Macaca mulatta: one gene and its partners. The protein of the gene in region 3 purifies or fractionates together with the protein of the main gene of each other region. This does not show direct contact. Links are inferred from orthologs where the notes say so. Each region holds a gene or a part of one and is shown on either strand. Other genes may lie near its edges.

Region 1 (4,024 bases), on a different chromosome or scaffold from region 3:
CTCTCTGGAATGAGGGTCTTTTGACCCACAATCAGACTAGAAACAAGGCAGGCGAAAGAAGGTCAGACAGAGATTCTTTTTCCTGAGGCCTAAAGCACCCCAACATTATAACGTAAGACTGTCATAAGGGTTATGGGAGTTATGAGCCAGGAACTGTGGATGAAAACATTATATATATATATATATATATATATATATATATATATATATAAAGTTGTAATATAGTATTTTTTATAAATTACAATAATTGTTAAAAAGTAACAATAAGCAAGATGGTTTGAGCCACTGAGGAATGCAAAACTCAGACTCCATTTAGAATTGATCATAAAAACAGGGAGAAAAGGGAATCACCTCTGTAGAAGGAAGAAATACAGAAGACAAAATGCAGTCTAAAAAAAGAGCCTAGTGTACTGATAAATTCCATCAGAGATAAATGGAAATCCTTTAACAGTTTGTAGAACTGCTGCCAAACATTTTAATCATGTAGATCAGTTCATACTCCAGGTCATGAAGTATGAAATTTCTTCCACAATTGACAGGATGATGTGGTTAGGGAACATTACGTGCACACTTCTAAGTACAAACGGTAAGGTTTTATTCTACCCAGTTACACTACTTTATTAGTTAACATAAAATCAAACTATTAGAGCAAAATTACATATGAGTTTCATGTTTTCATTTAAAAATCGATCTTGTACGCATGATTCTAGTTTTTAATAGTGTAGTGTTCTATGCCATTGCCCATGTGGTTTCAAAAAAACACTTTAATAGGATCAATGTTAGCATTTTTCTCTATTTTTGCTTACCTTAGGAAATCCTTTTCAGCTAGTATTACTTTTTTAAAAAGAAAAAAAAGGCCTACAAAAGTCTAGAATTACTAAAAAAAAGTCCTTGAAATGAACAGCCACATATTAATCACTTTTCTCCTCAGCTCAAATGTTAATTAAGCAAGTTGTAATTTAATCACTGATGTGCAGTAATCAGAATTCATTTTACATTAATCAAACATTAGAATATAATAATATTCAAAACCTGAGGCTTTCTTTTTAAGAGGAGCACTTCAGAGGGCTTTTGTACCTACCACATGTGAGGCATTAATTCAAGTTTGAGGACAATGACTCAGCTTGAAGGAAGGCGGGGTGGAGTAACATCCTCCCCATTCCTTTAGGAAAAAATCTTTTCTTTCTAACTAGGGGAGAGCGAGTGAAGTGGTTGAGAACATGCCCTCAACGTTCTGAAGACATGGAGAGAGGTGTGTTACTTGTTATGCGGCTCCCTAAAAAGAAACATCAGTTAGAGGGACTTCCAGTAACTGAGGCCACCAATTTCTACTTGCGCTTTACTTTTTCTGGGAGTGGAACGGGTCAGGTTTGCTAGTATTGTGAAAATCCATGAGGAAGCATTATTTCTCTCTTCCACTTGCCTCATTCTGAGTGGAACCCCAGAACCTCGTGTAGGGCTTAGGTTTCTCTGCTGCCATCCAAGAAATTATTTTGAGCGGAGAATCTCTCACTCTCTGGCTCTTTTCTCCCAATAGTAACAATAATAATGCCTTACTTGTTAAAAGAGATGCCGTGGTTTTGAAGTATTTTCTCGGCAAACGGACACTTCATATTTGGGTGTATTAATGGAGGGAGATAAAACACACATGCAGTGTTTCCTGAACTTTTTGGCTCACATGCTTCTTTGCTCATGCACAACCTAGAGAAAACTATGGAACCAACTCCTGTGTACAGTTTCAGGGAATTCCAGGTGCCTAACAAGGTTTTCTTTTAACTACAGTTGCTCACAAAATTTACACAGTAACTTGTGACAAACGTTCACAGGAAGTAGATAAAACTTTTCAATATACCGTTAAAGTCTTTCCAAAAATCTATTAACATTATATTGTTTAGAAATTCTGTACAAGTCTACTACTATATTACCTAATAAAATCTTAAGCAAGAAAAAGGGAAAACTATCTTTTCATACTTTCAGGCCAGTGACTAACACTTCGTCTTCTATGTAGGGAGGTGCCCAATAAATACTGAGAGACAAACGGAACCGCGGAATCCCGTCCGCCAGGTCAGGGGATAAAGAGAAGCCGCAACGTCTTTACTGCACGAAGCACCCGGTAACTTACTGCCTACCCCTCACTCCTCTCTAATCTTTGGTCTCAATGGATTGCTGGGTTGGTTTTGTTTTATTCATTTTTGCTCTTTTAGTGTTCTGAAGCAAGGAAACTTAACTTCACGTGGAGGGCCACTGTAAACTGCTGCCTCCCTTAAAAATGTATGACGGGAGAAGAGTAAGTTAAAAACATTTGGGGCCACACAGAAGGTTCTAGAAGCTCTGCAGACCCACGCTGCCACAGTCGTTAATCGCATGGAATCTCACCTCTTAACTTTTATCTCCTCTTTTTCCTGCTCCCCAACACCTAGGTAAGTTAATCAAAGTGTGGCCACCATCACGCCCTCACAGGTTTAGCTTACAATGCGTTTTCTCTTGGACAAGGGGAGAAAATCCAAGAAATAAACAAAACTACACCACGTCCATCCACAACAAATCTCAACAAGCAACTTCTGTTGCCGCAGCCTCACTGTGCCCCAGGGCCCGGCCCGCCACACGCGGCCTCCGTCCGCTAACCGCCCGCGCGGCGAGCAGAACGCCCGAGACCGCCCGCCCGCCCGCGGCTCACCTGAGCTCCAGCTGGTCCAGGCTCTCCAGCAGGCGGCTGGAGCGGTCGGCCATGGAGGAGGAGCGGCAGAAGCGCCCCTCGTTGGCTTTAGCGTTGATCTTCGCCTGAGCCATCTAAGCCTCCGACGCGGGGCAGCCGAGAGGTCACCGGCCCCTCCGGCGGCGGCGAGTGGAGCGCTCCTCGGGCTGCAGGCGTCGCCGTCACCACGCGGGCGCCCGCCCTCCCTCTGACGCCCGCGGGGGCAACCCGGGAGGACTCGCCGACACCGCGGCTGCCGCGTGGCCAAAGAAGGGCAGGCGCGGCGCCCGCGGGGCTCGGGGACGCCGGGCCTGGGAGGGGGCTGCAGCGGCTGGAATTAAGAGGTTCGCGGGCCACAGGGGCTCGGGCCTGGGGAGCGCAAGTCTCTGAGGCACGGGGAGGGGCAGACGCAGAGACTGAGCGCCTAATGTGGCCAGCGGATCGTCTGCTCCTCGGACCCAGGAACTACCCGAAGCCCGCCCGGACCCACAGACCACCCCCAGCTCCGCCCCGCGTGGCCCCGCCTCTTCGTGCAGCCTAAAAGTAACCAACTTCCCCCACACGAAGGTTCCTATCGGTCGATGGGTTGTGGGTGTATTGCTCAGTGATGGCTTCGTTTAGTTTCTTCCAGCACCCATAATTCAAAGCAAGAACAACGACATTAAGGGTCCTGTGATATAGGGAGAAAAGGTCCTTTTGTGAAACAGAAGGCAGTTAAGTGCAGCTCCTAGGCAGCCCACACTCACCTGACCTTCCTGTTACCACTTTATACTAAGATGAGAGTAACGAATGCTCGGACAACGCTGAAGCTATTAAGTAAAAAAGAAAAAGCTACTCCATCTTTCCCTATCTAGGTAGATGTAGGAAACAAAGTGAATTTACTTCATTTTTATCATTCTAAGGATTACAGGTGTGAACCACCACGCCCGACTTAATGAAGGAGTTTTTAATTTTTGCTATTAAAATTATTCCTGTTGAGTGAGCCGAGATCTCGCCACTGCACTCCAGCCTGGGCAACAGAACGAGACCTTGTCTAAATAAATAAATAAATAAATAAATAAATAAATAAATATTCTGAGTGAAATAATTGGCATTAAGAAGTCCTCAACTTTTAATTTTTTTTTTTTTTTTTTTTTTTTTTTTTTTTTTTTTTTTTTTTGAGACCGAGTCTCGCTCTGTGGCCCAGGCTGGAGTGCAGTGGCCGGATCTCAGCTCACTGCAAGCTCCGCCTCCCGGGTTCACGCCATTCTCCTGCCTCAGCCTCACAAGTAGCTGGGACTACAGGCACCCGCCACCACGCCCGGCTAGTTTTTTGTATTTTTTAGTAGA
Region 2 (4,026 bases), on a different chromosome or scaffold from region 3:
GTGAGACCTCTGGTATTTTAGTACTCCCATTCATCGGATTTCAGGTCGAGATAGCTGAGAATATTCTGGGCAAGCTTCACAGCCTGTTTCCTGGCAGCCTTACACTTCTCTTCTCCCTGCGGATCAACAGCATCCAGGGCTAGCAGCTGCTTGGTGAGCAGCTCTTCCAGCCGGATGTAGTTCTTATCGGTTCGATTTCCATCAAATGAAAGAACTTCTCCTTGGATCTCGGACAAGTTTCCAAGGACGTTCCAGACGGCTTTATGGGATGGGTGCTCCTCACAAGCAAACAGCTTTCTTTTCTCAAGGGCCTCCTTCAAGTCAATATACGTGATCAGAGTTTGCACCTCGATCACTGCTCTTCTCCTGGCTTCCCGGATGCAGGGGTTTTTTTCAAGACTTACCTCATCCAACTGTCCAATTAAACCCTGCAATTCTGTTTTGGAGCTCAGGTACAATTCAGGAGGGTTTTGTGCTTGGAGAAGTTCATTTTTTATTTCTCTCATTCTCGTGAGGACCTTTTCTATTTTTAAAATAGAATGATTCTGTCTCAGGTCAAATGCTTTAGTCGTGTCTGCTTCCTCTTCCAAATCCAGATACTTCAATAATTTGTTGATATCTTCTACTACCTCCCTCCGATAATTTCTGATTTCTGTCCGGCCGCACACATCTAGAGCATCTAGGTCAGCGATCAGCCCTGAGAGCACACAGGATAAGTGCCTGCAGGTCTCACTGTTGTTCACGCCCATCAGAAGTGCAATCAGGACCCCTCGGGCCTTGTTCACCTCACACATCACAAAGTTGATTTTGGCCACGGAAGGATGTGCATCCTCGGAAAGCGGCAGGGAAGGCTGCTTTTTCATGCAGTCTTCGATAATCTCTTGCACCGCACAGATTTTGGTTAAAGTGTGATACCTTGCTTTCCGCAAGGAGATTTTTCCTCCAGTTTTAACATGTGTCAGCCTCAGAATGATATCCTGGATGCCTTCTTCAAACTCGTCAGTTACGCAGTTGCCTCCATTATAAAATGGCACAATTTTCTCTCTAACGAGGGACTGGGCTTCCTCAAAAATGTTCTGTATTTCAATCCGGTGTGGGTGGTTTGCATTCTGCTCCAACTCTTTGAGAAGACGTTCTGTCTCCTGTGCTGCCCTCTTCCTAGCTTGCTGAATATCTCCTTTTCCTTCAGTATCTACAGAGTCTATTTCAAAAAGTTGTTTTGTTAGAATCCTCTCCAGTTTCTTGTAATTCTTGTCATCTGACAGACCACTGAAGCCGACAACTTGCTGTTCTACACTTTTTACTTCCTTTTGGATTTCCTGAAGCCTACTAATAGAAGGATGTTGGTTTCCCATATCCATACTTTTGTTGTGTTCAGTTTCACAAGCACTAAAAGATGACAAGAATAACTTATTACAGCACAAGGCTTCTGCAGAACACTAATGGTATACTAAGTCATTCTAAAATTCTCATTTTAAAAAGGCATACTTTCGAGCAGTCATCCCACCTCAGCCTCCCCAGTAGCTGGGACTACAGGCGTACACCACCACGCCCAGCTAATGTTATTATTTTTAGTAGAGACAAGTCTCACTATATTGCCCAGGCTAGTCTCAGACGATCCGCCCGCCCCCGCCTCTCAAAGTGCTGGGATTAAGGTGTGAGTCACCGTACGCCGCACAAACTATTTGGAACCGGCAGGGCACCTTTATGCAAGGTGAAACAGTAGCTCTTGTAACCTTCCGAACACTAACAGTACCCCGCCCCGCCACACAGCTATGCCTAGTTTCCAGAAACTCTAAGCAAAATAAACTGAACCAGTAGAACAAAAACCAGTGGCTCTCAGATATCCCCAAGTTCCCGCTTCTTCCCTTTGTGCACTTCCCCTCCCCACCCTTTTAGCTCCTCACACATCTTCCCTCCCAGATGTCTCCCCGAAGAGATAAAAACCCCACAGGTAAAGAAGAGCGACGGGGATTGCGCTGAAGGGCACCACCTTGGGCTTTCGAGGCCCAGCACCTCCTCAGCCCCCAACATGCTCCACTGTCTCAAAAAACTACAACCTGCGAAAATGTGGTAACTGAATAATTCATTCACTCGCCTCCCACTGAGAGTCCACAATCGCCTAATGCACGTTTCAAGCTCTTGGTTTCTATCAAACGGCTCGCTCAAGGTGGGTAACCAATGGAAACGCATCATCCATCCCCTGTGGATGTTCTGGAGGCCACGGAGGGCAGGCGGCCCGAGTTCCTTCCTCCCCGCCTCGCCCTTCCCTCTTGGCTCTTTACCCAGAAGAGGTCTGAGCTGGCTGCGATCTTGGCGTCCCGTGGCTGAGGTGGCGAGGTGGAAGATCAGCCCTTTACGGGGTGCGGCACCGGAGCTGGGCCCCCAGCTGCATCCCTCGCGCCCCTCCCGACTAGGTCTGAGCGGGGCAGCCGGTGAAGGGGCCGGCGGTGAAGGGGCTGCTACTGGCTGCAGCAGCCGCTCCGGGCGTCTCGGCCTAGGTGCCAGGGCGCGCCCGCAGGCCCTGACCTCACAATGGGCGCGCGAGGGGCCCTCGGCCCGGCCGGGGGAAGCCGGGGAAGGAGAGGAGCCAAGGCCCCGCCGGAGACACCAGAGACCAGGCCCGACCACCCCTGGACAGCGTCCGAGCCAGGGACGGGGACGGCGCCGAGACCAACTCTGCTCGGCCTGAGCCGACAGGCCGCGCTGGGGTGGGCGCTGGCAGAGAGGTGGTCCAGCGGGGAGCCCCGCGCCGACGGGGGGCCCCACTCGTCCCCCCGACGGAGGGAAAAGGCCACACGCCGCGCTTCGCTCACCTGTCCTGCCCGCGCCATCGCGCGATGCGTCGCCGACGCTTCCACGACTTCCGCAGCTCCGGCCGTCGCCCGGGCCAGCCAGCCCACGCCCCTGGCCGAACACCCCTAAACCCGGGGACACCTCCTCCGGCGTCCGCGCCTAGCCGCCGACAGCGCCAAGCCCACCGCCAGCGGCGCAGCAAGGCAACCTGGAGTGACAGCGACCAAGGAGCGGCCGCCCGGGTCAGCGGCGCGCCGCCCGCCGCTCCCGTAGCCCGTCGTACCGCGGGGAAAGCGCACGGTCGGCCGCACCGCCGCCCTCCCTCGGGCTTCGCGACCCTGCCGTAAAGCGGTCTCTCGCGCCGTCGCAATGCTGCCGTGCGCCGCGGGAGCCAGGGGGCGTGGGGGCGTGGGGCCATGGTGGCCTTGCGGGCGGGGAAGAAGAGTTTTCTCCGCGCTCTCAGCCGCTCCTTCGTCTGCCGCGGCTGTCAACTCGCTCCGGAGCGCGGCGCCGAGCGCAGGGATACGGCGCCCAGCGGCGTAAGCAAGCGCCTGGGGATATTGGGCCGGGAGGGGTGACCGGAAGGAAAGACAAACCGGGGCCTCGGGGCAGCTGCCTGCCATGCACAGCCGCCTCAGGCCTTTCTGCAGGTGCGCTCGCGTCCGATCCCGAACAGTCCCGCAGCCCCAAGGCTTCCGCGTCAGGGCTCTCGGTCGGATGGGACTGAGGGTGCCGCCGCCACGCCGGAGACTGTTGACAGCCAGAACCTTTAAGCATAAGAGTCACCTGGCAAGTTTGTAGCTATCTTATTTGTTCCCGAGAATGATGATTTTTTATATTTAAAGAGCTCTTGGCTTAGCGTGCATTTTTTTTTCGTGGTGTGTGTGTGTGTGTGTGTGTTTGTGTTTTGGCTTTGTTAAAATTATTAGAGCTTTTATTCAAGCGGTGAACACTTTATACTTTATCATCGTACTTTTGTAGCACTTCACGTTCAATAGTTGTTCTTATTTGCAAACTATGTGTGGGTATATGCATGTTACTGGCCAAAGATCCGCAAAGAATGTCTGTAGCAAGAAAGAGTGGCAAGCAATTTTTATAAGTCATACTTTTGGGAGGGATGTTTTGTTTAAAGGAGGCCTAGGCCTTGATTCCATCTGTCAGATGAAAATGTTGGCTAACGGTGTGGAATGGGCTGGAGATAAAATATTCAAGCAAAGCATGCAAATACCA
Region 3 (4,349 bases):
AAGTCCAGCTGCTGGTCTGCCTCTACCCCTGGACAGGGACTGGAGGAGGAGGATGTGGGCCCATCCCGGGAGGGCTGCCGGACCCAGTGGGGCAGACTGGAATGCCTTTTCCTGCTGTTCCCACCACCTGATGCCCTATCGCTCGAAAAACCACTTTAGTCTAGTGTACGACTTTGAAAGATTGTAATATATGCTCTGGAAAACATTCAGCAGTATGAAAGTCCTCCCTGGGCCCTCCCATGGTCCACAATTGGTAGAAAGGTCCAGAAATCCTTGAGCTCTGGAAAGGTCCCTGGTCAGTCGGAGCTCTGGCAGCTATATTGGAAGGACCTGCTCAAGTACGGTTCTTGATGTCTGGGGAATCCTTTCGGGGAAGATCACTTCAAATTCAATAATGAGGTCCCCACGTTTCTCGGGCGTTTTGGGGAGGGGGAGGCCTTCTCCAGGAACTTTTCGGCGCATGCCAGGCCTGATGACATCTTTGAATACGACGGGTATGGTCCTGCCGTCCAGAGTGGGGACGTTCACTGTGCAGCCACACAGAGCCTTGAAAAGCAAAGGGATAAGCATTAGATGGAAGCTGGCTCAAGAGGCTCAGCTCTTGCCCGGAGACCATCTGGCATAGAGTAAGACTCATCAGGCCTCTGCAGCCAACACCTGGCCCCCAAATCGACATGTCTCCACCATGAAAGCTCCAGAACAGCACCCTGATCACTCCTGTTCACTGTGGTGCCCCAAGCCTGGCAAGCGCCACACACCCAATGCGTGTTCAGCAAAACCTAAATAAACTGCTTCAAAGAGCAGCCATCGCGCTCTGCAGACACCGCCCCACCTGGCACCTTACCTCCCGGAGGCTGATCCTGGCAGGATAAATCACATCAGAGCCATCTCTCTTAAAGATATTGTGTGGCTTGTCCTTTAAAACAAAGACGATATCAGCTGGAATGTTGTTGGAGGTCTGGTCTCCTTCCTTGGGGAAGGTGATTTTGGTCCCTTCTTTCCACCCCTTCTTCACTTCGATGGTCAAGATTTTGTCTTCGTTTCGAATGCTCTTTCCGTCGGGGTTTAGCCGCTTGTGGGAGATTTTCATCTTCTTGGTACAACCGCTGTAGATCTCTTCAAGGGAGACTCGAAGGTCGTGGGTGACTGGGGGATCTTGCTTCTTTCGGGTGGGCTCTTGGGAAGGGCGGGAGCGGCCAAAGTTCACGTTGGTGAAGCCACCCATGCCCATAGGGAAGCCAGAGAACGGGTCATCAATGTCCATGCCTTCCTCCCCGTTCCGCTGCCCAAAAAAGGTGTCAAAGGGATTTCTGCCACCGAAGAACTCAGCAAACATGGCATGAGGGTCTCCATGGAACGTGTAGCTGAAAGAGGTACCATTGGCACCACTGCCGCTACCGCCACTGGGGCCACTGCCCTTTAGGCCTGAAAAGCAGAATTAGAAGCAGTCAGATGGCTGAACAGCAGACTCCCTCTCGAGCTTCCCTTACGGGGGAAAAAAGCTTGGAAGCCATGGGGGAGGAACTTTTTTTAGCCTGCCAGGGGAGAGCAAGGAAGAACCCCAAGCTTCTACCCCTCACTGCAGCAGCAGAGCTGCCCCCCCCCCCACCAAGTACTTCCGCATAGCCTGACAGTGGAAAAGGACTCATGCGGTTAGGTGTCCACCTACAGGTGCCACCTGGGCCCTGCCACTCCTGGACTGACCCATCCTCCTGGCAATGTCACCAAGGGATGGCTAAACACACACGGTCCAGGGTCGGCTTTCGGTATTTACTTTCAACATTTTAGGACTACTGATGTGTACGAAGAGTGAAAATAAGGAAAAAAAAAGATGTAGAGTTTTTAAACCCTCACACTAGCATTCACTGCTACCATCCTTGCATAATAAGTCAGTCCCAGATCAAGCCCAGAAGCCAGCCTGAGTCATCAAGGGGCACAGGGACAAAAAGCCCCACTCTCCGTCCCCCCAAACCCCCAGGCGGCCCAGCTCTCCGCACCTAGGCGGCCGCTGCCTCCTGCGTGCCCGGCCGGGACCAGGTCATCACTTCCCGGAAATCATCCCAGCCCAGCCCCAAGGCCCGCGAGCGGGGTCGGCGCCTGCATTTACAGCCCCGCGCCCCGCAGCTGAGCCGCAGGCGCCGCCCTGCGGACCCCGGCGGCTAAGCCCAGGTGAGCTCGGGTCCGCAGCAGGCTCCGCCGTGCCGTCCCCGTCGTCACCCCCGGCTCCCCCACCCCCCTGCACCGCACCCCGGGGCTGCTCGGGGCCGCGGGAAGAGGCGCCCGGGGAGGGGCAGCCTTAGACATGCTAGAAGCTTCTGGGCGAGCGGCTGGGCCAAGGCTCCTCCCCCCACCGCACGGCCGCCAATCCAAGGGCGGAGGCCCGAGCGGCCGGAGGGCGGGGCAGCTCGGCCCCCGGGCCCGGGGCGTCCTTCCCGGGGGGCCGCCGAGAGGGGCCGGTATGCCTCGGTTTCCCTGTCAAACGGCGGGACCGCGCCCCTGGCCGCGCGCACACACCTTCCTCTCCGTAGCGGTCGAAGATCTCGCGCTTGCGCGGGTCGCTGAGCACGTCGTAGGCCTCGGCGATCTCCTTGAACTTCTCCTCGGCGCCGGGCTCCTTGTTCTTGTCCGGGTGGTAGCGCAGCGCCTGGCGGCGGTAGGCCCGCTTGATCTCCTCATCCGACGCGCCGCGGGCCAGGCCCAGCGTCTGGTAGTAGTCTTTGCCCATGGCCCCCCGCTGCGGCCCGCCGACCCGCTGTCGCCGTCCCCCGGCTCCGCCGCCGCCCGGTCCCGGACTCTATATACCCGTCCGGCGGAAGCTTCCAGAGCCCGCCAGCCCCCTCCAGAACCTTCCGCCCCGCCCCCCCGCCCGCGGCGCCGGCCAATCGCCGCCACCCTTTCCGTGACACGCGACATCCGGGGCGGGGCTTTGCCGTCAACGGCCGCCGGCGCGGGGCCACGCCCCCTCCCGCTCCGCCCTCGACAACGCCTCCCGGCGGCGCGCGCACAGGTCGGAGGAGGCCCCGCCCACCTTCCGGGACGAGCCAATCGCGAGCTTCTTTCACACTCTGCACCGCCCCAGCGACCCTGCGTCCCGCCCTCCGCCTGGGTCAGTGGGTCAGGAGCCGTCGCGAAGGTGATGTTCCGGGAAGGGGTGGGGCCTGGGACTAGCCTGTCTTTTCCCCAGGAGGTGATAAACCTTCCAGCCCTTGTCTCGCGGGACCTGCGGTGGGCCTCCGCCGGGTGACGCCGGACGAACAACCTAACCCGCGTCTGCTTAACCCAGGGGTCTCTTTCTTTCTACAATATGGCAATAAGAGAACCTGACACGGAGCCTCACGACTGTAATTTCCATCACTTCCTGAGGCCAAGACAGGAGAATCTCTAGGGCCTAGGAGTTGGAGACCAGCCTAGGCAACATAAGCAGACTCCGTTTCTTTTTAAAATAAACAAACAGGCCGGGCGCGGTGGCTCACGCCTGTAATCCCAGCATTTTGGGAGGCCGAAGTGGGCGGATCACTTGAGGTCAGGAGTTCGAGACCAGCCTAGCCAACATGGTGAAATCCCGTCTCTGCTAAAAATACAAAAATTACCCGGGCGTGGTGGCACGCACCTGTAATCCCAGCTACTCAGGAGGCTGAGGCCTGAGAATAGCTTGAATCGGGGAGGCGGAGGTTGCAGTGGGCCGAGATCGGGGCACTGCACTCCAGCCTGGGCGACAGAGCGAGACTCCGTCTCAAAATAAAATACATAAATAAATAAATAAGTAAAATAAAACAAAATGAACAAACAAGGAATCCACCAGCGCTATTTTCCCAACTGTGGGGAGAAGGATGTTGGGACAGAAGACTGCCTCTGTTCTCCCTTCCTAAAGCGAGGTGAGGATCTGGGCGAAAGCTCACCTCCCGAGGTCCTCCCAGTCCCGCCTTCTTCACTTTACTGCCCTCTCAAGAGCACTTGCTGCTAAATTAGAAATTTATTTTGTGGCCGGGCGCGGTGGCTCAAGCCTGTAATCCTAGCACTTTGGGAGGCCGAGACGGGCGGATCACAAGGTCAGCAGATCGAGACCATCCTGGCTAACATGGTGAAACCCCGTCTCTACTAAAAATATAAAAAAACTAGCCGGGCGAGGTGGCGGGCGCCTGTAGTCCCAGCTACTCGGGAGGCTGAGGCAGGAGAATGGCGCAAACCCGGGAGGCGGAGCTTGCAGTGAGCTGAGATCCGGCCACTGCACTCCAGCCTGGGCGACACAGCGAGACTCCGTCTCAAAAAAAAAAAAAAAAAGAAATTTATTTTGTTTCTTGGCTTTCAATGTGTCCTCCCTCCCAGTCTGAGATCGCCACCTGAGCAGG
Region 4 (4,251 bases), on a different chromosome or scaffold from region 3:
CCCGCAGCACCCGTGTGTTTGGGGGCAGCAGCTGGCCAGAGAGAGGTCAGAATCAGGGAGTCTGTAGGACTGGGCCCTGCTGGGAGGCCTCCAGCATCTGCCTCCCAGGTACAGCACCAGGAGGGAACCCTAAGCCCAAACACTTGACCCAGGTGGGCCACCCGGCCACCTCAGGCTCTCTGGGGGGCTGCCTGCCACGCAAGCCCGGCCAGCAGAGCCTATGCTGGGATCAAGGCCTTAGCCCAAGGGACACTCACCTCCTCCAGGGTGCTCAGAGACACCCCAGCAGCCACGGACACCAAGATGTGTTCAGCAGTGACCACAGGAGCCACCTCTGCCACGACAGCTGGCAGGATGTGGGGCTTGGTGGCAAAGATGACGAGCAGGCAGCTCTGCAGCACCTCCTGGTTGGAATGGGTGGTCTGGCAACCCAGAGCCTGTGCCAGGGATACCAGGACCAGGCCTCAGGGGCTGTGTGAGCGGCACACCCTCTCCACCACAGCCCTTCCTGCTGGAGGCCACACATTCCCATGGGTCCCAGGGTCTCTCCCATTGCAAGTGTCTAGACCACCCCAACTTCTCCAATGCCCAAGACTCACCCAGACTAACCCTGCTCCTCACAGGCCATCCTGATGTCAGCGCCTCCCCAAGCCCTGAGCCCTCCATCCGCAGTGAATGTCTGTGACCACCACCCCAGCATGCAAACACACACATGCACATGCATGCACTCACGAGCATGCATTCACATATACACACGTGCAGACACATGTACTCACGAGCACACACACACACACGTGCACATGCATGCACTCATAAGCACACACATACACACACACGCATGTACTCACAAGCACACATGTGTACACACACCCACTCATGAGCATGCACTCGTGTACATGCACGCACTCTTACACATGTGCACGCACACACACGAGCACATACGTGCACACGAATGCACTCACGACCACACAGGTGCACATGCATGTACTCATGAGCATGCACTCACACACACGTACACACACGCAGTGACATACACACACCACACGTGCAAACGCACATGTGAGCATGCACTCGCATATACACACGTGCACATGCATGCACTCACACACATACACACACACACACACACACACAAACACTTTGCTTTGGCCCTCCACAACCTTACTTTCCTCCTGGCCTCTCATCTCCCTTTCCCCAGCCCAGAACAGCCAGTCTCCAAACTTCAGCTAAATAAACCACCCATCTCTGGCTCCAATAGGTGTCTTAGTGGGATAGGAGTCAAGCGCTATCCTGGGCTCTGGAGGGTATGAAGAACCTAGGCTCTATGCTCACTTGAAAGTGACATAAGTTCCTGTCTGTTGGTGCACTGGCCACTATGTGCTGAGCTTCCACTTTCCCTGGAAAGAAAAGAAAAGGAAGAGGGGTTGGTGAGGGGGGTGGGATAGGATGGCAGTGAGGAGAGGGAGGAGCTCACCTGGCCTCTCAGGCTCAGCCACGCCGGGCCCATCATGGGCCCCCTCCTGGCCTCAGGAACCCAAAGCAGGATGCACCATTCACTGGGCCCAGGCAATCATATCCATTGATTCTACTTGGCAGTCAACGCCCCTGACTGCTGCTGGGTGTGGAGGCCAGGAGCTGGCCTCGGTGGTGAGGACACATCCCTGGGGCGTCTGTCTCCAGGGAAGGGAAGGCTGCCTGGAGCAGAAGAGGAACACCAGGCCTTGGGGGAGTGTGGTGGGTACAAAGGCAGCTGATTGGCCACAGAAGGCCCAATGGGGGCCCAGGTTCCTCGGGAGGGAGAGTCTGGCTGGGATGTCCAAGAGGCTAAATGCCTACTTGGTAGAAATCATCTGCTTTTGTGGGGTACAGGGGTGGAGAGATTGGGTTAGATTTTGGTAAGGTCGAACAGGAAGACAGAAGTGTACACTACAACCTAAACACAGCAATTAATCATGACAGTGCCACCCATACACACCAGTACTAGGCTCAACATTAGACATATTGTCTCATTTAACCAGTACAGCTCTGGGAGGCATGTGGTACTGCCGGGTTTCACAGGTAAAACTCACAGTAAGCTATTTCCTGATGGATCTTGATTCTTCTGGACCCTGAAGTACGGCTGAAGGCAGAGCGCCAAGAGTCACCCAGCTCTCCCTACCCACAATCTGCAGAGAGGCTTCTAAATGCCTGGAGAAGTATATGGTCAGCATAAATATCCCGGCCATAAAGCAGTGATTCTCAACAGGGGATGACTTTACCTGTCTCCTCCCGCCACCCAGGGGACATTCGGCAGTGTCTGGAGGCATTTTTTGGCTGTCACAACGTGGGGAGTGCTACTGGCACAGGATGGATGATCTGGCCCAGGTGTCCCTAGAGCTAAGGTGTCTGGAAGAGAAGCCCTGCTGCTCGGAGAGGGGCTGGCGCGCAAAGAGAACATCAGAGGCTGGAAGAGGTGAGCCTGGCCAAGGCCACGCGGCCAGGAAGCCGGCCACGGAAGCAGCACCTAGCCACGTGTAACTCAAATCTTCCCGCAGCCACGTCAAAAAAGTAAGAGGAAAAAGGCGTGACTCCGGCTGCACCCAGCGAAGCTGAGACCCGAGTGGCTGGGCTCGCGCCTCCGGCCCCACTCTCGCGACAGGGCACCTCCCACGGGGCTACTCCCACGCCAGGCCGCAGGCCCAGCCCCGCGCCGCCCCACCTGCTCTGATGAGGCCCTGCGCGATGGCCCCCGCCATGCGGCCCGCGCCCACGAAGCCCACGCGCCGCGTAGCCGACCCCGCAGCCGCCATCTTGTCGCCCCGCTCCGGCCGGCTTTTTGTCCGCACTCTACTGGTTCGCAGGGCGCGGGGACCCCGCCTCTCGCTGCTTATTGGCCCGAAGCGGCCAGGCCGCCCCTCACTGTCCATTGGCTGAGAGAAACTGGGGCGGGGCCGGAGGAGCGCGGAGGGGTCCCGGTCGGGCGTGCGAGGTCCGGATCTTGGTTTTCGGGACGGGAGGGCTAGCGAAGCGGGTGGCGGGGCTGGTCCGCAGCGTGCGGTCACTGAGGCCCCGCCGACGACAGGCGGTGGAGCCGCGGGGAAGCACGAGGGGTGGAGGCCCAGGTCACGGAGAGCTGGCCGGGCCCAGGGGCCTGAGATCGACGGGAAGGGGAGGGGACAGTCGCAAAGGGGGGGCGTCATTTTTAATGACACAAGGAAAATAAGGCTTGAAGATCTGAGTGCGGTTTTGTTTTCATCATCTAATCTAAGGCTGCATGTTACCGATGTTATTTTCTTCTGAAGCCTTTGACGTTTTCTAAGCTCTTCAGTCATGAAATCCTCTCATTGATTCAACATTTACTGTGCAGCTGCAGCCTCTGGGCCCTGCTCTGGGCCTGGGCAAGGCCACCCCACAGCAGCAGATGGGACAGACTGGACCCCACCCTGCAGCCCTGCTTGTTGGCTGTATAGACGGACTACAGTCAGCACACACGCAGGACGGCCAGAGTGTCAAGGCTCTAAAGCAAATGACGTAGAGAGGGATAGAAAGCCACCACAAGGCTGCTTCAGCCACCGCGGCCAAGAAATGTGGGTGGTGCACACTTTGCACCAGCACACTGTCGGCAGCTGTCTCTCCTGCCACCTTGGATCCTGCCAGCCCCTTCCCACACAGACCCCCTGGATTTTCTCCCAGGCCCCCTGGGCCAGTGATGGCTTGGGACCCAGGCTATGGGGAGGTGAAAGGGGCCGGAGGCATCCAGTGCCATGCCATCATACATAAGGACAAGCTCATCATAAACAAGTACACCGAGTCGAGGTGAAGGAGGGTTGCTGGCCGAGTGCCCAGGGCCACAGTGAGTAAAAGAAGGCCCAGTCCTGTTCAGCTTCTCCATCCCATGCTGGGCCAGGCTTCTGAGCATCCGTTAGGAGCCCTTAGCTGACCTGGACACCCAGCCACCCATGGCTTGTGTCCAGGGCACCTCTGCTTTTGGCTGGGCTTCTTCCCACTGTTCCTCACCTGGCGGATCCAAGTGGCCACACAGGCACCACCCTCTCCAGGAGGCCTTTCCTGAACCCCCACATGGGCAGAGCCTTTATCCACAAAGGGCTGGTGCCAGGGGATACACTGTGAACGAGGCCAACCCACCTCCTGGAGCTCCAGGTCCTGGGATGTTGGCATGAGGGGTGGGGGTTGAGGCAGGACTCCCAGAAGTTTGCAGACAAATAATCCCAGCAGGGCAGGGTGGATGCTCAGACAGGGGCTGAGATGGTG

What was found.
Region 1: the proteins of DNAJB1 (region 3) and BAG2 purify together in Homo sapiens (affinity purification with mass spectrometry; 4 studies listed by BioGRID and IntAct, with this or other methods). This does not show direct contact. The link is inferred for Macaca mulatta from reciprocal best matches to the Homo sapiens genes DNAJB1 and BAG2.
Region 2: the proteins of DNAJB1 (region 3) and BAG5 purify together in Homo sapiens (affinity purification with mass spectrometry; 3 studies listed by BioGRID and IntAct, with this or other methods). This does not show direct contact. The link is inferred for Macaca mulatta from reciprocal best matches to the Homo sapiens genes DNAJB1 and BAG5.
Region 4: the proteins of DNAJB1 (region 3) and PYCR3 purify together in Homo sapiens (affinity purification with mass spectrometry; 3 studies listed by BioGRID and IntAct, with this or other methods). This does not show direct contact. The link is inferred for Macaca mulatta from reciprocal best matches to the Homo sapiens genes DNAJB1 and PYCR3.

The regions. Positions count from the first base shown.
Region 1 is NC_133409.1:125,116,957-125,120,980, forward strand, and holds the start of BAG2 (BAG family molecular chaperone regulator 2), read right to left. Parts: upstream 2,825-4,024; 5' UTR 2,791-2,824; coding exon 2,678-2,790; intron 1-2,677. UniProt on the Homo sapiens protein: Co-chaperone for HSP70 and HSC70 chaperone proteins. Acts as a nucleotide-exchange factor (NEF) promoting the release of ADP from the HSP70 and HSC70 proteins thereby triggering client/substrate protein release.
Region 2 is NC_133412.1:176,980,500-176,984,525, forward strand, and holds the start of BAG5 (BAG family molecular chaperone regulator 5), read right to left. Parts: upstream 2,845-4,026; 5' UTR 2,197-2,844; coding exon 2,099-2,196; intron 1,390-2,098; coding exon 18-1,389; 3' UTR 1-17. Other genes in the region: COA8 (cytochrome c oxidase assembly factor 8), read left to right, coding at 3,213-3,335. UniProt on the Homo sapiens protein: Co-chaperone for HSP/HSP70 proteins. It functions as a nucleotide-exchange factor promoting the release of ADP from HSP70, thereby activating HSP70-mediated protein refolding.
Region 3 is NC_133424.1:15,127,958-15,132,306, forward strand, and holds the start of DNAJB1 (dnaJ homolog subfamily B member 1), read right to left. Parts: upstream 2,812-4,349; 5' UTR 2,726-2,811; coding exon 2,515-2,725; intron 2,369-2,514; exon of another isoform or gene 1,998-2,368; intron 1,426-1,997; coding exon 845-1,425; intron 547-844; coding exon 316-546; 3' UTR 1-315. UniProt on the Homo sapiens protein: Interacts with HSP70 and can stimulate its ATPase activity. Stimulates the association between HSC70 and HIP. Negatively regulates heat shock-induced HSF1 transcriptional activity during the attenuation and recovery phase period of the heat shock response.
Region 4 is NC_133413.1:153,979,061-153,983,311, forward strand, and holds the start of PYCR3 (pyrroline-5-carboxylate reductase 3), read right to left. Parts: upstream 2,832-4,251; 5' UTR 2,790-2,831; coding exon 2,699-2,789; intron 1,398-2,698; coding exon 1,333-1,397; intron 438-1,332; coding exon 258-437; intron 32-257; coding exon 1-31.